Linked DNA regions of Sus scrofa. The protein of the gene in region 2 interacts with the protein of the main gene of each other region in a pairwise test. Links are inferred from orthologs where the notes say so. Each region holds a gene or a part of one and is shown on either strand. Other genes may lie near its edges.

The links.
Region 1: the proteins of LPXN (region 2) and HOXC9 interact in binary tests that used the Homo sapiens proteins (3 or more experiments, as listed by UniProt). The two-hybrid records come from large-scale screens. The link is inferred for Sus scrofa from reciprocal best matches to the Homo sapiens genes LPXN and HOXC9.

The regions. Positions count from the first base shown.
Region 1 is NC_010447.5:19,209,008-19,217,331, reverse strand, and holds HOXC9 (homeobox protein Hox-C9), read right to left. Parts: upstream 4,843-8,324; 5' UTR 4,351-4,842; coding exon 3,813-4,350; intron 2,048-3,812; coding exon 1,803-2,047; 3' UTR 1,473-1,802; downstream 1-1,472. UniProt on the Homo sapiens protein: Sequence-specific transcription factor which is part of a developmental regulatory system that provides cells with specific positional identities on the anterior-posterior axis.
Region 2 is NC_010444.4:12,530,815-12,539,116, reverse strand, and holds the start of LPXN (leupaxin), read right to left. Parts: upstream 4,338-8,302; 5' UTR 4,195-4,337; coding exon 4,182-4,194; intron 1-4,181. Other genes in the region: E3 ubiquitin-protein ligase ZFP91, read left to right, coding at 7,641-8,002. UniProt on the Homo sapiens protein: Transcriptional coactivator for androgen receptor (AR) and serum response factor (SRF). Contributes to the regulation of cell adhesion, spreading and cell migration and acts as a negative regulator in integrin-mediated cell adhesion events.

The DNA of each region.
Region 1 (8,324 bases), on a different chromosome or scaffold from region 2:
GAGAAAGGGGGCGCCGGGCTGAGGCATACCCGGCAGCTCGAGTCTGCTTCTGATTAGCAGATGAAAACTGCCCGTTCTGGGGAAGGTGCTCTGGGGTGCTAGGCAGCTGCCCAGCCCCATCGGGGCTGATCCACAGCACACCCCACATCCTTGCTCCTGAGGTCCCACCACCATCAGAGAGCACCCCACTCCTGGCTAGTTCCTGACCAGCTTCCTTGGGTCCCAACTACACTACTCCCCCCCAAATGCTGCAGCCGCTCAGCATAACCCCAGTCACCCCCAGATCAACATTCAAAGTAAACACCAGAGAGAGAGAAAGATGGAATAGAAAAGAGAGAACTAGGCGATGGGGAAGGGAGGAGGATCTGAGAATCCACTGAGAGGTAGAAATGAAATCTAATTCTGATCATATTGGTTTTGCCATCTTCCTCCTCCCTCCCTCCCCCTCTCCCTTCCTTCCTGCCTCCTTTCTTCCCTCCCCACTTTCTCTCTCCCTGTCCCTCTCTCTGCATCTTGCTTCTTTTACTCTCGCTGCAGTCCCCAGGGCCTGACCCGCTCCCTGAGGCCTGCTGGGCCTTCCTCCTCACTGTTCACCCCCCACCCTCCCTAGCACCACCCCCTCCACACACATGCACCAAGCCATCCCACGAAGCCCCTATGCAGCCAGGCAGGACTCCAGCCCGGGCCCTCACCCAGCACCCAACTTTCATCTTCACCTATCTCTCCCCTGCGATCTCGTGTACTCATAAATTATTACAATTAATTACAGCCAGGGAAAACCATTCATGCCGTGCCCCCACCCCCCTCCCCGGCACCCCCTCCCGGGGGGGACTCCATCCAGCTACCCGGAGACACACACAGGAGGCAGCCAGCCTGGGCAGGCACGAGCTGGAGCTGGACCCTGGACCCGGGCCTCAGCGGCCTCTACCGCACCCCAGAACCCTCACCCCAGTGACAGCCTGCCTGGAGAGCAGCAGTGGGCACTTGCCCTTCCGATGTCCAGGGAGCCCCTTGCGGGGCTCCAGCCTCCCCCAAAGGATCTGAGCACTTGCCTCCTCCATGGACAGGAGCCACAGGGAGGAGAAATAACGAGAACTGGATGCAGTTGGGTTTCTGGTTTTTTAAGTGACTTCGATATATTAACACAGAGCTGTTCTACCATAACAAACAGAAGCACGTTACAGGACGGACTCTGGGGATGAGAGGAGACACTGCTATGTACACGCCCGAGGCGCCGGCCTGCGCCGCCGGACCCAGCCTGCGGCACGGTCCCCGGCCCTCGCCCCTCAGCTCCTGGGCTGGAAGCATTCTTGTGTATGTATGTGTGTCTTTTTTTTTTTTTTTTGTACAAAATCTGCACGCAGAGCACCCCAGGCCTGGGGAGGGATGGCCCGGGCCAAATACGATACAGGAAAAAAAAATAGAAATATAGCGATTCAAGTACTGGCTTCTCTGAAGAAAGGAGAAAAAAATCACATTTGTGTGTGTCATTTATTTCAGTTGCGCTGGGAGAAGAGAACGCGGTTTCTCTCCCCGCCTCCTCCTCCTCCTCCTCCTCCTCGCCGGGTAGAACTAACTCTAAAACACCAATTTCTCAACACTGAACCCTCCCAAATCGCAAGAGTTTTCCTTTTCCCCTTCCCCTTTTTTTTTTCTTTTTAAGCTGATTGGCTTTTCTCTATCTTGCTCTTTCCTTTTCTTTTTCGTGCTGTCTCCCTCCTGGGTTGGGGTATTTTTGTGGGTTTTTTTGTTTTGTTGTGTTTTTCCCTTGGCTGTGCCGAGGCAGCAGGCCGGGGCAGGGTTTAGGATTGCTCCTTGTCGGTTTTCTCTTTATTCATCTTTTTCATCTTCATCCTTCGGTTCTGAAACCAGATTTTGACCTGCCGCTCGGTGAGGTTGAGAACCCGGGCCACCTCGTACCGACGGTCCCTGGTTAAATACATATTGAAGAGAAATTCCTTCTCCAGTTCCAGCGTCTGGTACTTGGTGTAGGGGCAGCGCTTCTTCCTTGTGGAGCGGGCGTGGATCCAGTTGGCCACGGGGTTGCCTGGAGGGCCAAACACAGGCAGGGGTCAATGGAGCCCCTTTCCAGCCTAGGACCCCTGCCACCCCAACCCCCAGGCTCAGCCAGTTTCCCCAAACCTAACAATTGAACCTGAATTTGGACACGTTTTGATTTAGGAATCCCCCCCCCAACTCCTTTTGCATTCCCCCCCACCTTCCCCGTCTCTCCCCTCCTCAGTTTCCAGCACCTAAAACTATAGGAAATCGAAGCTATCAAAGCCTCTACAGTCTGGTCCTCAGCTTCAAGAGTAGTAATTCGAGAATATCCTCATAAAAAGTCCAAATTCCCAACCGTTTCATAGGCCCATAAACGCTTCTCTCTCTTGTTTTTTATTTTTACAGCGAGGTCTCTCTCCTCCCCAGTTCCCTCCTCCTCTGCCCCCTCCCATCCTCCTAGCCCACGACCAAGTCCTGAAATTTCAGCACTTCTGCTTCCTGACCCTGAGAGTCCCCAAGCCCCTCACTGCCCTCTCCAGCGCCCCGTCTCCGCTCTCTCGGAGTTGAACCCTGCTGAGGCGAATTCTCAGGGTGATGATGCCGGGCCGGGGAAAGCTTTGCCTTGCTCCTCTCCCCCAGGGAGCTGCTGGCCTTGGGGACAGGCTCCCCTATATCTTAGCTTCCCTCTTTGACTTCCAGTGTCCCCCTCCTCCTGCCAGCCCCAGGGACAGGCTCTGCAGGAGCCAAGCCTCCAATTTCAGGTTTATGGGAGTAGCTGAGGGCAAGAAGGGAAGCCTTCAGAGGGGTATAATTAGGCCCTGGCCCCTTATGGGGCTTCAGGAAAGGATTTCCTGCAGCCCCCTCCAGGGACTCCCCCAGACACTTCCTCACACCCAGGGGCTGCACTCCCTCCCCTGCTGTTTCCCCTTCTTTCCTCTTTCTCTGGCCCTGCAGCTCTCACCTGTCCCCCAGCCCCCAACCCCTGGCTTTCTTTGCAATACTCAGAAGTCTCCTGTTTCCCTGATTGGAGTGTGTGTGTGTGTGTGTGTGTGTGTGTGCATGTGTGTGTATGTGTGTGTGTGTGTGTGTAATTCTCTAATCTGGGGAGATGCCTTTCCCCACTCCTCTTCCCTGACTCCCATCCACACCCCTCTCTCCTGCAGACCCTCAGAAGAGGGCTCTCAAGTTTAAGGAGACTGGGACCCCACTTGTCTCCCCCAACTCTGGAAGTCCTTATCTCTCCCAGTTCCCAGCCTGGGAAAGCACCCAGATCCCTCACCCAGGGTTCCAGGGAGAGAAGCCCATGGACCTCCTGTTTTATGAATCTCTAGTGGGGTGAGGACCCCCATGCTGCCTGGGAGGTAAAGGTGGCTTTTCTCCCTGGGGTTATTTCCTCTCTGCCCCTAGTGTCCTCATCTCTCCCCCATCCCACCCCAAACCATAAAACGAACCTCGCCCCCACCCCATCCCCTGGCCCTGTCTGCATTTCTTCGAAAGTAGAGAGCGAGCCAAAAAGCCTGGGCCGGGGGTGTGTGTGGGTGGGGTGGGGGGGCTCTCATCAAAGCCAGCTCCTAAGAGAGGAGCCCCCTCAGCCCTCTCCCAACCTGGCTCCCTGGGCCCCCTTCTCAGACCTTCCTGCCCCTGAAAGCTCCCCAAGGTAATTCGCTTTTATTGAGTCCTCGCCCCCTCGCCCTCGCCCCTCTCCCGCGCTCCCTGCACCGCTCCGAGGGGCTGTAATCCGGCTCCCCCCTCCCGCCCGTCCTCTCCTCCCCTCCCGCGCGGGTTGTAAAGGAAAATTGCTCCCAACTTACTGGGGTCCAGGTCGGCCTTCTCCTCTTTGTGCTTGCTGCCGGCGAGGGCGTCCGCCTCGGGCGAGGGCAGGGTCTGCGGGGCGCGGTCGCGCAGCTCCCCGGGCGAGCCGTACATGTAGTCCGGGTAGCTGCGGCCGTCGCCCGGGCCGCAGTCGGCGCGGCGCCCGGGGTAGGCGTCCGGCTTGAGGGCGTAGTGACGGCCCCCGGCCGGGAAGCTGGGGAAGGAGACGGCGCCGGACAGCGGCTCGAGCCAAGTCCGCATGTAGCGCGTGTCGGCGCCGAGGTGGGGCTGGGGGCCGTACGGGTGGTAGACCACGGACGACTGCGAGGGCACGGGCGCCCACGACGTGCTGAACACGGCCGGCTTGGGCGCGAAGCTACAGGACGGAAAATCGCTACAGTCCGGCACCAAACCGCTGGGTCTGGCGGCGGCGGGGTGAGCCCCCGTGGCCGGAAACCTGGACGCTAGGAGGTCTTCATTGTCGTGAGAGATGAGCGAGTCCACGTAATAGTTACTGATGGGCCCCGTCGCCGACATCGTAACAGGGTTTTACATACATAAGATTATTGTATGAACTGTATATGTACTTTTTATCTGCTCACAGAACAATCAAGGCAGGTAATTATTTTTCCAGCCTTTTCCCCGCAGCTCATTGGCTCCCCGGCCCCCACGTGATCGTATTTACCCAAAAATACGGCGCGGATCAATGCGCAGGGGCTTTTTTTCCTGGCTTTTTTTTTTTTTTTTCCCTCCCTTCTCCCACCCCCTTCTCTCTGCTGATCCCCGCGACCTGCGTTTTCCTGGGGGTCCGCAACTCTGGACCCAAGGACCCGGCCACCCCCTCAGGACAACTCGCATCTCAGCAGAGCAGCCCCTGGCCCAGGTCCACCCATAGGCAGATGGCCTCCGCCCCCACCCCCGGGAGGATTTCTTAATGGGGTGAAAATGCCAGTCCCCGAAGCCAGGGTTCCGGGACCCCCGGGGCCGAGCTGGGCGCGGGAGCCCCGCAGGGGCGGAGAGACCCGGCGAGGTAGGTGGAGGAACTATTTCTTGACGTAATCCGTCTCTGTCGGCCCCGACGCTCCCGCAGTCTCTGCGCGAGCCGAGATCAGCGATTGTCAGTTCGGAACGTGGCTTTTAAAAATGCGTTTTTAAATAGTGTGTATGTATGTATTTCTTTCAGGAGCTGCAGCAGCAGCGAGGGAGGGAGAGTGGGAGGGGACTGGGGAAGCTGGGGTGGAGGGAGGGAAGGAGGGAAGGGGAGCGTCCTTCTGCCACTGGCCAACTCAGCCCCCCAAATCTGGGGCAGGGGAAGCTTGGGGAAGGTGGTCCACGGGTGGGAGGGGTAGGACCTTGGGACCTCATCCACCTTTGTCACCAGAAGTCCTCTCTTTGCTTTGGCACAGACATGCAAACGCCTGTATTTTAAATTTATTGTCTATATCTATTTATCTTTCTTTGCCAGCCTGAAGAAGTGGAGGAGAGATCTACACAACTTCAGTGGGGCGTACCCATCCTGTCTTCCTGTTCACCCTCCTCTGCCCCCAACTCCATCTCTGAGACCTCCTGCCCCCCCACTTGAAAAAAGAAGTCGCTCGCGGGCTCTGTCTGCAGAGAGCCAGGGTGAGAGCGGGCAAGGCGAAAGAGCGACCTCGGTCGTGGGCAAGTAGCTTGTTTTTACGTCCTTCAATAAAAATTTTATGAGGATCATTTGATTGTTCATAAATGTGTCTTTCATTAAATAAAATTGTAGGCTGTTTTTGGAACGGGAAAAAAGCTACAGAGGAATGGGAGAGAGCAATTTCTTTGGAGTCAGATGCAGGAATTCTGGAGGGGGCAGTGTGATTGTGGGGACGATCACACAACTTGGATTCCTCCCCCCAATAAGTTGGTTGCTACCCTCCTCCTTGAATTTGGGGTTCGCTGCCCAGCCCTCTGCTTTCTAGCAGACTGTCCCGTGGTGGTTTAGCAAAGGTGGGCTTTGGGCAAGCAGGACATTCTCAGTGTAGGTGCAAGAGAGGGGTCAGGGAAGTTGGCTGGGGGCGGGGGAGAAGGGCAGGTGATGTCCCCAGAGACAGATGCGCCCTGGGCATGGTGGAGGGAGTTTGAAGGAGGGGTGCAATTTCAGGGTCAGCAGGGAAGAGTCTAATTTGCGCTAGGGGAAAGAGGCAGGCGCTGAGGCTTAGACACAGGCTCTGAGGCAGCAGGGAAGGGCAAGTCTTCCCAGACCCGAGATGCCTGCCTGCCCTTCTTTCCCACTCCTGTCCCCAGGAGGGGACCAAACGCCAGGGGTGGGGGTGGAGGCTGCTTTTTTTTTTCCTGCATCTCTGTCAACTTGTCTCCTCTGGGGAGAAGAAGGGCTAGAGAGAGGTGTCCCAGAGATTGTAGGATATGTGTTGGGGGGGGGGGGAGTTGAGGGGGAAGGGTAGATCTGCAGCCTGCAGCACTGACCCCAGCCTGCCAGGCCCCCTCCCCAGTGCCTGCTCCTCCCCTTCTCTGGTTCCTTCCTTTTCGGTCTAGCGGGGCTGGGATTTTGACGCATGGGGGTGGGGGGGGACGTGAGAAGTGCCCGGCTGGGGAGAGGCAGCCAGGGGCCTCAACCTCTTCACCCCAGGCCGTGATTGCCTTCCCCTCCCCAGGACTGGACGGGTCTGGGAAATCCAAATTACAGCAAGAAACAGAATATCTCTTTGGCCTTGATGGAGTTGGGTTAGCTGTCAATCAAAAATTTTCCCTCACTAGTTCAAGGAAAAGACAGGAGGTTCCCGTCCCCCTGCCGTGGCTTTCTCCAAATCCCCAGTGCCACCATCAGCACGTCCCCCAGGTGCAGGCTGGGGGACCCTGCCTGGCTCTGGGGTGGCTGCTGGCAGCGCAGAGCAGAGACGTGTCGCCTTCAGAGGGCCCGGGGCCAGACTGCGACCAAGAGGACATCAGGGGACAGAGCCTGAGAGAGACAGCCCGAGACAGCCTGAGAGAGTACGACCGAAGCACGGCGCCAGGCCCATAGAGAGGAAGGGAGGAAGGAAGGAGGGCAGGAAAGAAGAAAACGAAGGATTAGGATACAAGGCAGAGGGAGGGGAGGATTACAGAAGAGAGGGGATGCAGGAGGAAGAGCGAGAGGAGAGCAGGGAAAGGAAGGCATGCAGAGAGCGAGCCGGAGGAAGGGCGGCGACAGGCAGGCAGACGGGGCAGGGCGCGGGCTGGCCGAGCAGCCGTGGCATTGTGCAGCCGGGCCTTTGCTGCGGGACCGGCTCCGCGCCTCCGGACACAAAGGAGGAAGAGGCCTCCTCTCCTGCCCCTCCCTGGCGACCTGCTGGGGTGGGTACACCAGGCCTCCGGGGATATCGAACCCTATCTCGGCCCAGACAGCCGCCCAGGCAGCTGGGGACTGAGCCACACTCTCGTCAAGGAGCAAAGCTATGACCAAGGAGGTTTTCACGCTCGCTCCTCCTTGGAGTCTTCACCAGGCAACAGGGCCCATCTACCCCAACCTCAGTTTTCCTAGAAGAAAGACGCCCCTAAAGCCCCTCTCCATGGGCCTCCACTATTTGGGAGAGCCCCCCAGGCATAGTGGCTGTAAACAGATGCCCCTTTCTCTCCTACCCCCTTCGGCCACTGCCTTCTTTTCAACTCTTGAGCAGCCTGCCCACCCTCCCTGCCCACCCGGAGGCAGAGGCGGCAGCCACGGGGCAGCCGAGATCACCAGGCCCAGCTCTCTGCTGCATGCCTTCAAATTCTCTGTGAAACTGAGGGGAGATTGTCACCTCCGGTTCAGAGCGTGAACTCAGACCCTCCCCACTCAGGCGCAGACACAGCTGTGGATCAGGAAGCAGGCCTCGCCCACAGCCCCCTCCCCACCAACGCCGCCCCGTTTTGCCTAGGCCTTTGCAGGGAGAGGCAGCCTGAAGGAGGGGGGCTGGAAGGGGCTGGGAGTCCCTGAGTTCACCAGGCCACCAGGCTGAAGTCCCTCGGGTTCCACCACTGCGTGTGTGGGTTGTACCACCGGTTCCCTGCGTCTGGTGGCGGGGTGGCAGGTCAGGGCTCTGAAGCAGACCTTCAGGCTTCCCCCAAATCCAGGCCTGTAGATGTGGGGGGCACAAAGGATGTGGGGGCACCAAGAAGGAGGGGGTTGTCTTCCCAGGTTCAGTGATGCCTGCTGGGTCTCCTGCCAGATCCCCAGACTCCTCTCACCCCCGCCACTCCCTTCAATTTTCCCCAGCACCAATGGAGCAAGCCAAGGGACTGGAGGCCACTGGGAATCCCTGTAGGGGATGGGGGGGGGGGAAACCCCAGCTGTAGCTAGCAGCTCTGCATTCAGTCTGGTTCTTAGAGCTCTCCTCTGACCCCAAAAGAGTGCACTGAGCGCAGGAGAGCCCCCTCAGGGGGAGGGGCGCCTTTACTGCAGCACCTCAGACCTGGACAGCTGAGACCACAATCAAGCTAGCACCACCGTGGGAAAGACTGACAGACAGAAAGACGGACAGGTTAGAGTCATCCCCTCCCCTGGCCCT
Region 2 (8,302 bases):
TGAAACCTACTAGTGAATCTCCAGCAGATTTCTGACTATAGACTGCAGGTTTTTAAATTTTGCAAACACTGTATTATGTTATTTCTAAGGATCTGCCTAGCTTTAAAATCTTCAGATAAGGAAAAGGAACTTTTATAGGTCATTTTTTCTAAAAAAAAAAAAAGGATTTTTATTTATTTCAGATGTTGGGGATGGGCATGTCTTAATGGCATAAGAAAAGATCTAATCATTTCTTACAAGCAAAATATTCTACAGGCTTTCTCTAGCATCCATCTCACAAACATATTGAATTGTATGCACCATTTTAGAGATAAGGAAACTGAGCTAAGCTCTTCAGGGCAAATGACCCTTCAACACATAAACTGTAATGGAAAAAAAGAGATTAAAAGAGACTTAAGAGACTTGTAAATGATTTCAATGCATAATCTTAAACAGGCAAAAAACAAAAAAAGAAACAATTAGGAATATTAAATGCTGAAAATTCAATAAGAAGTACTGTAGATTTATTTTAGGTATGATAAGGATATTTGATGATATTAAGTAATTTCTGTTAATATTTTAGATGTGATCACGGTATTTCATATTATTAAGGAATTACTTCCAAGGATATTCTGGAGGTGATAATGGCATTATGGTTATATGTATAAATGTATATACATATATATATGCTGAAATATTTACAGATGAAATGATATAATGTATGCAATTGCTTTAAAATAAACTAGAAATGGAAGGAATGATTGGGTGTATAAATGAAATAAGATTGAATAAAACTTGATGAATATTTAAGGTGGTTGATGGGTACATCAGATTTCTTTCCTTTTGTCAAATTTTTTTTTTTTTTTTTTGGTCTTTTTAGGGCCACACTCCGCTATATGGAATTCCCAAGCTAGAGGTCAAATCGGAACCACAGCTGCCAGCCTACACCACAGCAACTCAGGATCCCAGCCACGCCTGCAACTTACACACAGCTCATGGCACCACAAGATCCCCAACCTACTGAGGGATGCCAGGGATTGAACCCGAGTCCTAATGGATACTAGATGGGTTCATTACCGCTGAGCCACGACGGGAACTCTCCTTCCGTCAATTTTAAAAGTCTCCACAATAAAACGTTTTTTAAAAGAAAAAGAAAACTACAGTAAGAAGGGAAAGTAACCTTTTTCTCTCAAGACTTTGCAAGCCAGACTGAACACCAAATTGCTGAGTTCCAAATTTTTATTCAGTGGTCCTCTATTAAGATATAGCCTCTTGGAGTTCCAGTCATGGTTCAGTGGTTAAGGAACCTGACTAGCATCCATGAGGATGCAGGTTTGATCCTTGGCCTTGCTCAGTGGGTTAAGGATCCAGTGTTGCTGTAAGCTGCGGTGGAGGCCAGCAGTTGCAGCTCCAACTTGACCTCTAGCCTGGGAACTTCCATATGCTGCAGGTGTGGCCCTAAAACGACAAAAAAAAAAAAAAAAAAAAAAAGATATAGCCTCTTTCTTTTCTATTTTGTAAGCTTCGCTCCAACCAAAAGTCACAGATCCTCTTGGATTCAAAATAAAAAGGCATTTACAGTAAAGATGAGGAGAGACCAAAGACCCTCTACAAGAGAAGCAAAATGTACCACCAAGAGTGCAACATTATCCAGGCAGCATCAGCTAACCAAAGTTACTAAAACACTCCTTTCTGGGTCATGAGTTAACAGGCCTTTCTCTTCCTGTTTTCTGAGTGTACTAACACCCCCAGATTATCTGGCCTTTTGCCTGATTCTATAATTTGAAGATGACTAATTTCAGTATGACAAATACATACGGGATTATTGTTGTGTGGGGGATTTTATTAGACTGAAAACCCTACTGTCCTTTTCTATAGCTCTTCATCTGCAGAAATCAAATGATATCAACATTCACATTGAAGGAATTAAGTGAAGTCTCTTGGGAGTCACACTAGACTGCAATGACTTCATTCAGAGCCAGAGTCTGCTCCAAGTTCCCCTTTATCTAGCATCCCCTTATCATGAGGGTTTAGGTCAGACCTTCTGGATACAAACTACTAACCCTGGGGGAAGTACAGCAGAGAGGAAATATCAGCCCGCCTGGCCAGACCTGTCCTCCGTTCTATTTCTCCCCATTGGAGAAGAAAGTTCACCCTAGGTCCAAGAGGGGGTAGTTACTGAGCTGATGACAATTTAAAGGAGACTTCGAGGTGTAGCTATTAACAGCCTGATGAAGTTTAATCACCTGGATAATATGCATGAATTTTATATATATATATATAAAATATATATATATCTCCTAGGATATATATACAGGATGCCGGATGCTTTCTACATTTCTGGACCACATTACTCTTACCATTCATCCTGCTAAGGAAATGCAAAACTGCGCAAATCTATTTTTTAATTTTTTAAAAAATTATCTGGGTTAGCCTACTGGCTGGAACATCTGAGCCAACACACTTCTAAAATAGAACAGCTTGTGGCTTAATCAGTTTCGCTATCAGATGTTCTAAAGAGTGGCACTGAACAAATTATTTTGTTTTTCTTAGTTTTCTCAATTGGATTAAAAAAAAAAAGTGGGTACTACCTATTTCAAAGAGTTGCTTGGAACACTAAAATAATTAGCATATGTAAAAATGTCTAGTTTTAGCTTAAGTCATTGAATAAGTATTATTACCTTTTCCAATTACCTGCAGGAAAGCCATGAAATATCCCTAGTTAAAAAAAGAGAGCTATGCCGCAGGAGCGGCCCAAGAAATAACAAAAAGACAAAAAAAAAAAAAAAAAAAAAAATGGAGTTCCCGTCGTGGCGCAGTGGTTAACGAATCCGACTAGGAACCATGTGGTTGCGGGTTCGGTCCCTGCCCTTGCTCAGTGGGTTAACGATCCGGCGTTGCCTTGAGCTGTGGTGTAGGTTGCAGACGCGGCTCGGATCCTGCGTTGCTGTGGCTCTGGCGTAGGCTGGCGGCCACAGCTCCGATTGGACCCCTAGCCTGGGAACCTCCATATCCCCCGGAGCGGCCCAAGAAATAACAAAAAGACAAAAAAAAAAAAAATAAATAAAAAATAAAAAAAGAGAGCTTGACTCTAGTGGAACTCAGACAGGAATGTGAATTTCCCCACCCCTAGCAGAGAATAAGAATTTGGATTCTACCCCAAGTGCAAAGTTTATATTCTACTCCAAGTTTCAAAAGAGATTTTACGTCCAAAACAATTCAGTATTTATTAAATACCCTTTTCCTTTTTTTTTCCTTTTCATTAACATCTCTTCCCTCCTATAATTTGCCTTTGTTCCTTCCTCTACTCCTCCAGATCTCAAGTTAGTTTTTTTAATAGACAACCTGCAAGATACATTTTGCTGATGTTGTTGTCCGCACTTTTGACATACCCCAAACAGACAAAAACCCTGGACACTGTGGAATTACACAGCTTGGATAGTGGATAAATGTTAGTGACTGTGTTAGTAGGGACGATGGCAACGAAAGTTGGCAAAGGATATGGAATGAGTCCCAAGAATATCAAACCTTACATTACTCCAAAGATTTGAAACCAGGGATCTCTCCAAGCAATGGGGCCCATAGTTTCTCTTCTGGTTTCAATTGTTTTGGAATAGAAGGAGATATATTCACAGTCCACAGTAATCTGTGCCTTCAGAATTGCTCTCGGTAAAACCTTAGCAATGAAAGCACTAGTGTTAGAGGGCTGCATCTTCTTGATTTAACGCTGCACCATGGAACAAAGGAAACCACTTTCTCCAATCTTTGGGGATCCCTCCTTCTTCTACTTCTATCCCATTTCTTCTCCTCATAACACTTTAACTGCCCCCCTTCTTTCTGTTTTTTCCCTAAATCACATCTCTGAGGTTTGCCAATTCTGTGACCACTCTAGGATCTCTAGCAACTCATAGGAGCAAAATTCTCATAACAAAATAACAATTTCAATCAAAATTCAGTCCAAAAGTATTTGTGCAGTTTATTCTGTGGTTAGCACCAAATTCTCTGTCTACTGTGCCTCTGAAAACAGTGAACCCATAGTTCCCCAAAATAACAGTCCCTCATGCTTCACTCTTGGCCTGAAGTCAGGAGAGAAGTGAAAATAAAATCCTCCAACACTACCCTTCCTTATCCCACCACACGAGGAGATGGCAGCCAAGCATTCATTCCCCCAGAGTTTCTCTTCCAAGAAGCTCCTCACTCACCCAACTCTTCCATTGTCTCACACCCAAGATGCCCTGGTACCACAGGTTGTGAGGAACTGCTTTGGCAAGTGCTGAAGAACAGGACCACAAAGGAACTGAATGAGGCAGCACGCAGCAGCCTCTATAACCCTTTCTGGTTCCTCTATTTGCCTAGCACTTCCTCTCCCTTGATTTGGTGGGTTTCTTTCTCTCTTGTCCTTTTGCAGGTCAGAGTTTTTAAAATGACATAGAAAAGGTGGGTAGTTGGGTTTGAGTTCTCATTGTGCATTGGCTCGGGTGATAAAGATTCAAACCTAATTTTGAAAATTTTGAGAAACTCCTATGTGCCAGGATCCATCTTGAATTCATGGGAATAGCAGATTTGCACTTGTGTTTTTTCCCAGTGTGTGACTGTGTATCAGAGAATCTTTTTTTTTTTTTTTCTTTTTCTGTGAAGCTGGGGTTCATGCTTTTCATAAAATTCTCCTTCATAAAATTCTCATCAGAGTTAACCAGCACCCAATTCATTTTTTTTTTTTTTGGTCGCTCAGCAGATATAGAGTTCCCAGGCCAGGGATCAGAGCCCAGCCGCAGTTATGACCTCAGTCATAGCTGCCACAACACTGGATCTTTAACCCAGTGTGTGAGGCTGGGGATTGAACATGCATCCTGTTGAGCCACAGCAGGAGCTCCTCATTTTGCTGTCTTTACTTATCTGGAAATTATGCTCACCTGCTTTCCTAAATAGACTGTCAACCCATTAAAGGCAGAACAGGATTATCAGGACCAGGTTACATTTTAATTCCCTCGGCCAGGTTTATTTCAGTGGTTCAAAATGCAAACTATAGGGGTTGTGAAGAATGAAACTGGGAGATTTGAGACACCAGGTTCTAAGCTGCAGACATCTCAATTAAGCACAATTCCTGCCTACTGCCTTATAGCAGTTTTTCTGAAAAGTCACACTGAGATTAACTTTCACTTTTTTTTTACTGCTGTGATTTTATTCACCTTGAATAAAACATTTAAAAAAAGCCTAATATGAGAAGGCAGTATTTAAAGAACTAAAACTATGGCTCTGTGATATAGATAGTACCCTCATTTTTACCAGTGGTGAAATAGATAATAGTAACTTGCTAAAGATAACAGAATTAGTAGGTAGCTTTGTAACTTGCTATAAGATAGATTTATCTTCCAAGTTTGTAATCTTTCCTCTACAACAGAGTGATCTCTATTTAGGTTACTCTAAAGGAATCATTTGTTCTCCATTTCATTCCATTGTGACTCTCAAAACTTTTTTTTTTTTTTTTTTTTTTTTTGACATAAAGGAGATCCCACCTCTGCATTACTCTGAGCAGCCATTGGATGTCAGTGCCATTCTAAAAGTATGCTCACTGCAAATGGGGGTTTGAAAATTTTCCATCTACACTATGACAGTTTTTACAGTTGAAATGCCAGTAGCCCCATGAAAGTGCGAAACATTCCACAAAGACTATGAACATTGGCCCATCTGAAGTGGTAACTGAACCAAAACACTGGAAGGAATAATGTTCTCAGCCCTTGGCTTGCAAATGTGGGACTCCAACTGCAGTTTAACTGAATGATTCATGTGACACTTAAAACTGGATCCCAAGATCTTGTTTCTATTCATTTACTTTGGAGACTTTTAATTCCGGAGTTTTATTTTCCATGGTTAAGAATCGTTCCTGCAGATCGCTTCTTGATTATAATAGATGAAAGTCAGAAAGGAAGGAACGCAAGAGGCTCACTACCCTCACCAAATCCAACTTGAAGATGAGCAAATGGAAACTTCGTTTTGATGCATTAGGGCAATTTAGTTGCACATGTTGGTGGAGAGAAAAGTAATTTCTGACAAAGCTGCTATTCTGACCACGCTTCCTGTGCAACACAAAACAAGTAAAAACCACAGAAGCACACGGCTTCAGGGCGGGGGGTGTGAAGGAGGCCTTCAATTTTCTGGGTGGGTCACCAGAGTCACGCAAACAACCCTTCATCCTTCTCTCCAGCCCAGGGACCACAGCCAGGTTAAGCAACTGACGCCAGTTCCTTGTCCCCGGCGACATCTAATAAAAAAACAATTCTACAATTCTTTCCACAAACTTTTATTAAAAATCAAATGAGTGGTGGTGATTGTGCTAAGCCCCCTATGAATCAATGGAACCACAATCAATCTTTGACTTTGAGACACTCACAGGTTAGTGGGTCAGACACAGGAGAAGACGGATATTGCAGATATGAACGCTAGCCAGTCTCAGACGATGTGCCATATAACCAAACAAAGGTAAGGGCTATTAAGTGGCCACCCTAGAAATGATTCGCCAACACCAAGTTAAAGAAGCAAGGAAAATCCTGCCAGGCAATCCCGACCAGCAACGGGATCAACAGTTGTGCCCGGACCTGCGCAGGCTCCTTGCGGCCTAACCCGGAAACACAACCTCCCCAGAAGAGCAAATTCTAACTGCGGAAAGAGTAAACTACCTTTCCCATCATGCACCAGTCAAAAACTCCCAGAAGCCTCTCCGCCTCTGGTTTCCTAGCTTTCTTCCTAAGGCGTAGGAGAAGCCGAACTTCGTTTCCCAGGATGCCTTTGGAAAAGTTAACCATGCTCATGCGCTAAGAGGCGGGCCCTACTTGCCCTCACGACCCCGCCTCTGTTTTGCCGCCGCCATTTTTTCAGAGACTTTCATCCGGCAGCCGACGGGGCTTTTTTTCTTAAAGGAGAAGCGACAGCTCAAAAAAATTTCCCCTTTCTCTCCGCAAGACCTAGCGGCGCTGGGGACAGAAAGGCCACAGACAGGAGAGTGGGATCAGGGTGGAGGAAGAAGAACGCCGAGGCTACTTCCGCGGCTTAAGGAAGAAAGCTAGAAAGAGCCCTTGCGGCATTAGCAGCTCCTTAGGGAGGCAGGTGCGCGCGCAGCCAGTTCAGGGTGCGCGCCAGGAGGGGAAAGAGGTGCGTTTTCTTCCCACTAATCTCCTCGCGAGACCTGACCCTCCCACTGCCCCTCGCGCGCGTTGAGCTTCGGAGGTGGGGAAAAAAAAAGGTCACTTTGGGATTGTCGCGAGACGCAGCCGTTTAACGGTGAGAACGGGTGCGCGGGGAAGGAAACCTCGCGCGTTCCCTCGGAGCCGTTTCCTGATTGGCTGAAGAAAGGGGTGGAGGCGGGAACCCGGTACGCCGCTGCGCGAGAGACTGTGAGGGGCGGGGCGAAGGAGCTGTTCCTCCTCTCCGATTGGCCCGCTGTGCGCCTGTGGCGGGCGCGCGCGCGCCGCCAGCAGTAGCGGGCTTTGAGTGGCAGGGGGCGGGGGGGGCGCCCTCGGAGACGGGCGGAGGGGAGGGGGGGAAAAAGAGGAGCGCAGTGAGTGAGCCGAACGCTCCGGGGGGCGGGGGGGAGCAGCGTCGCGGCCGCCGCCGCCTCCGCCTCCGCCGCCTGGGATTAGGGGGTGGGGGACGGACGAGTCCCGATGCCGGGGGAGACGGAAGAGCCGAGACCCCCGGAGCAGCAGGACCAGGAAGGGGGAGAGGCGGCGGCGGCGGCCAAGGCGGCTCCGGAGGAGCCCCAACAACAGCCCCCTGAGGAGGCGGCGGTGGCGGCGCCTGCGGGGACCACTACCAGCCGCGTGCTGAGGGGAGGTCGGGACCGGGGCCGGGCCGCTGCGGCGGCCGCCGCCGCCGCCGCTGCCGCTGTGTCCCGCCGGAGGAAGGCCGAGTATCCCCGCCGGCGGAGGAGCAGCCCCAGCGCCAGGCCTCCCGACGCCCCAGGGCAGCAGTCCCAGGCCGCGAAGCCCCCGTCTCCAGCTCAGGGCAAGAAGAGTCCGCGACTCCTGTGAGTAACGCAGTCTTTCAGGCGGTGGGAAAGACCCCCCTCTATCCGCACGCAACCCTCTCGGCTCCCGTAGCGACCACTCCACGTGACATCCTGCTTGCTCTGCCCCCTGTCGGCTCGCCTGCCAGATGTCACACCGCTTCCTTGTTAGCTGGCGGTCTTATCGGACCTCTCTGGCTTCCCCCGCCCCCCCGCCTGCCGGTCCAGCCACTTCTTTTCTTGAAATCTCCGTTGTGGGATACACTCCTTGTGCTCCCTAGTGACCCACCTCTTCCCTGCCGCCTCAGGCTTCTCCCCACC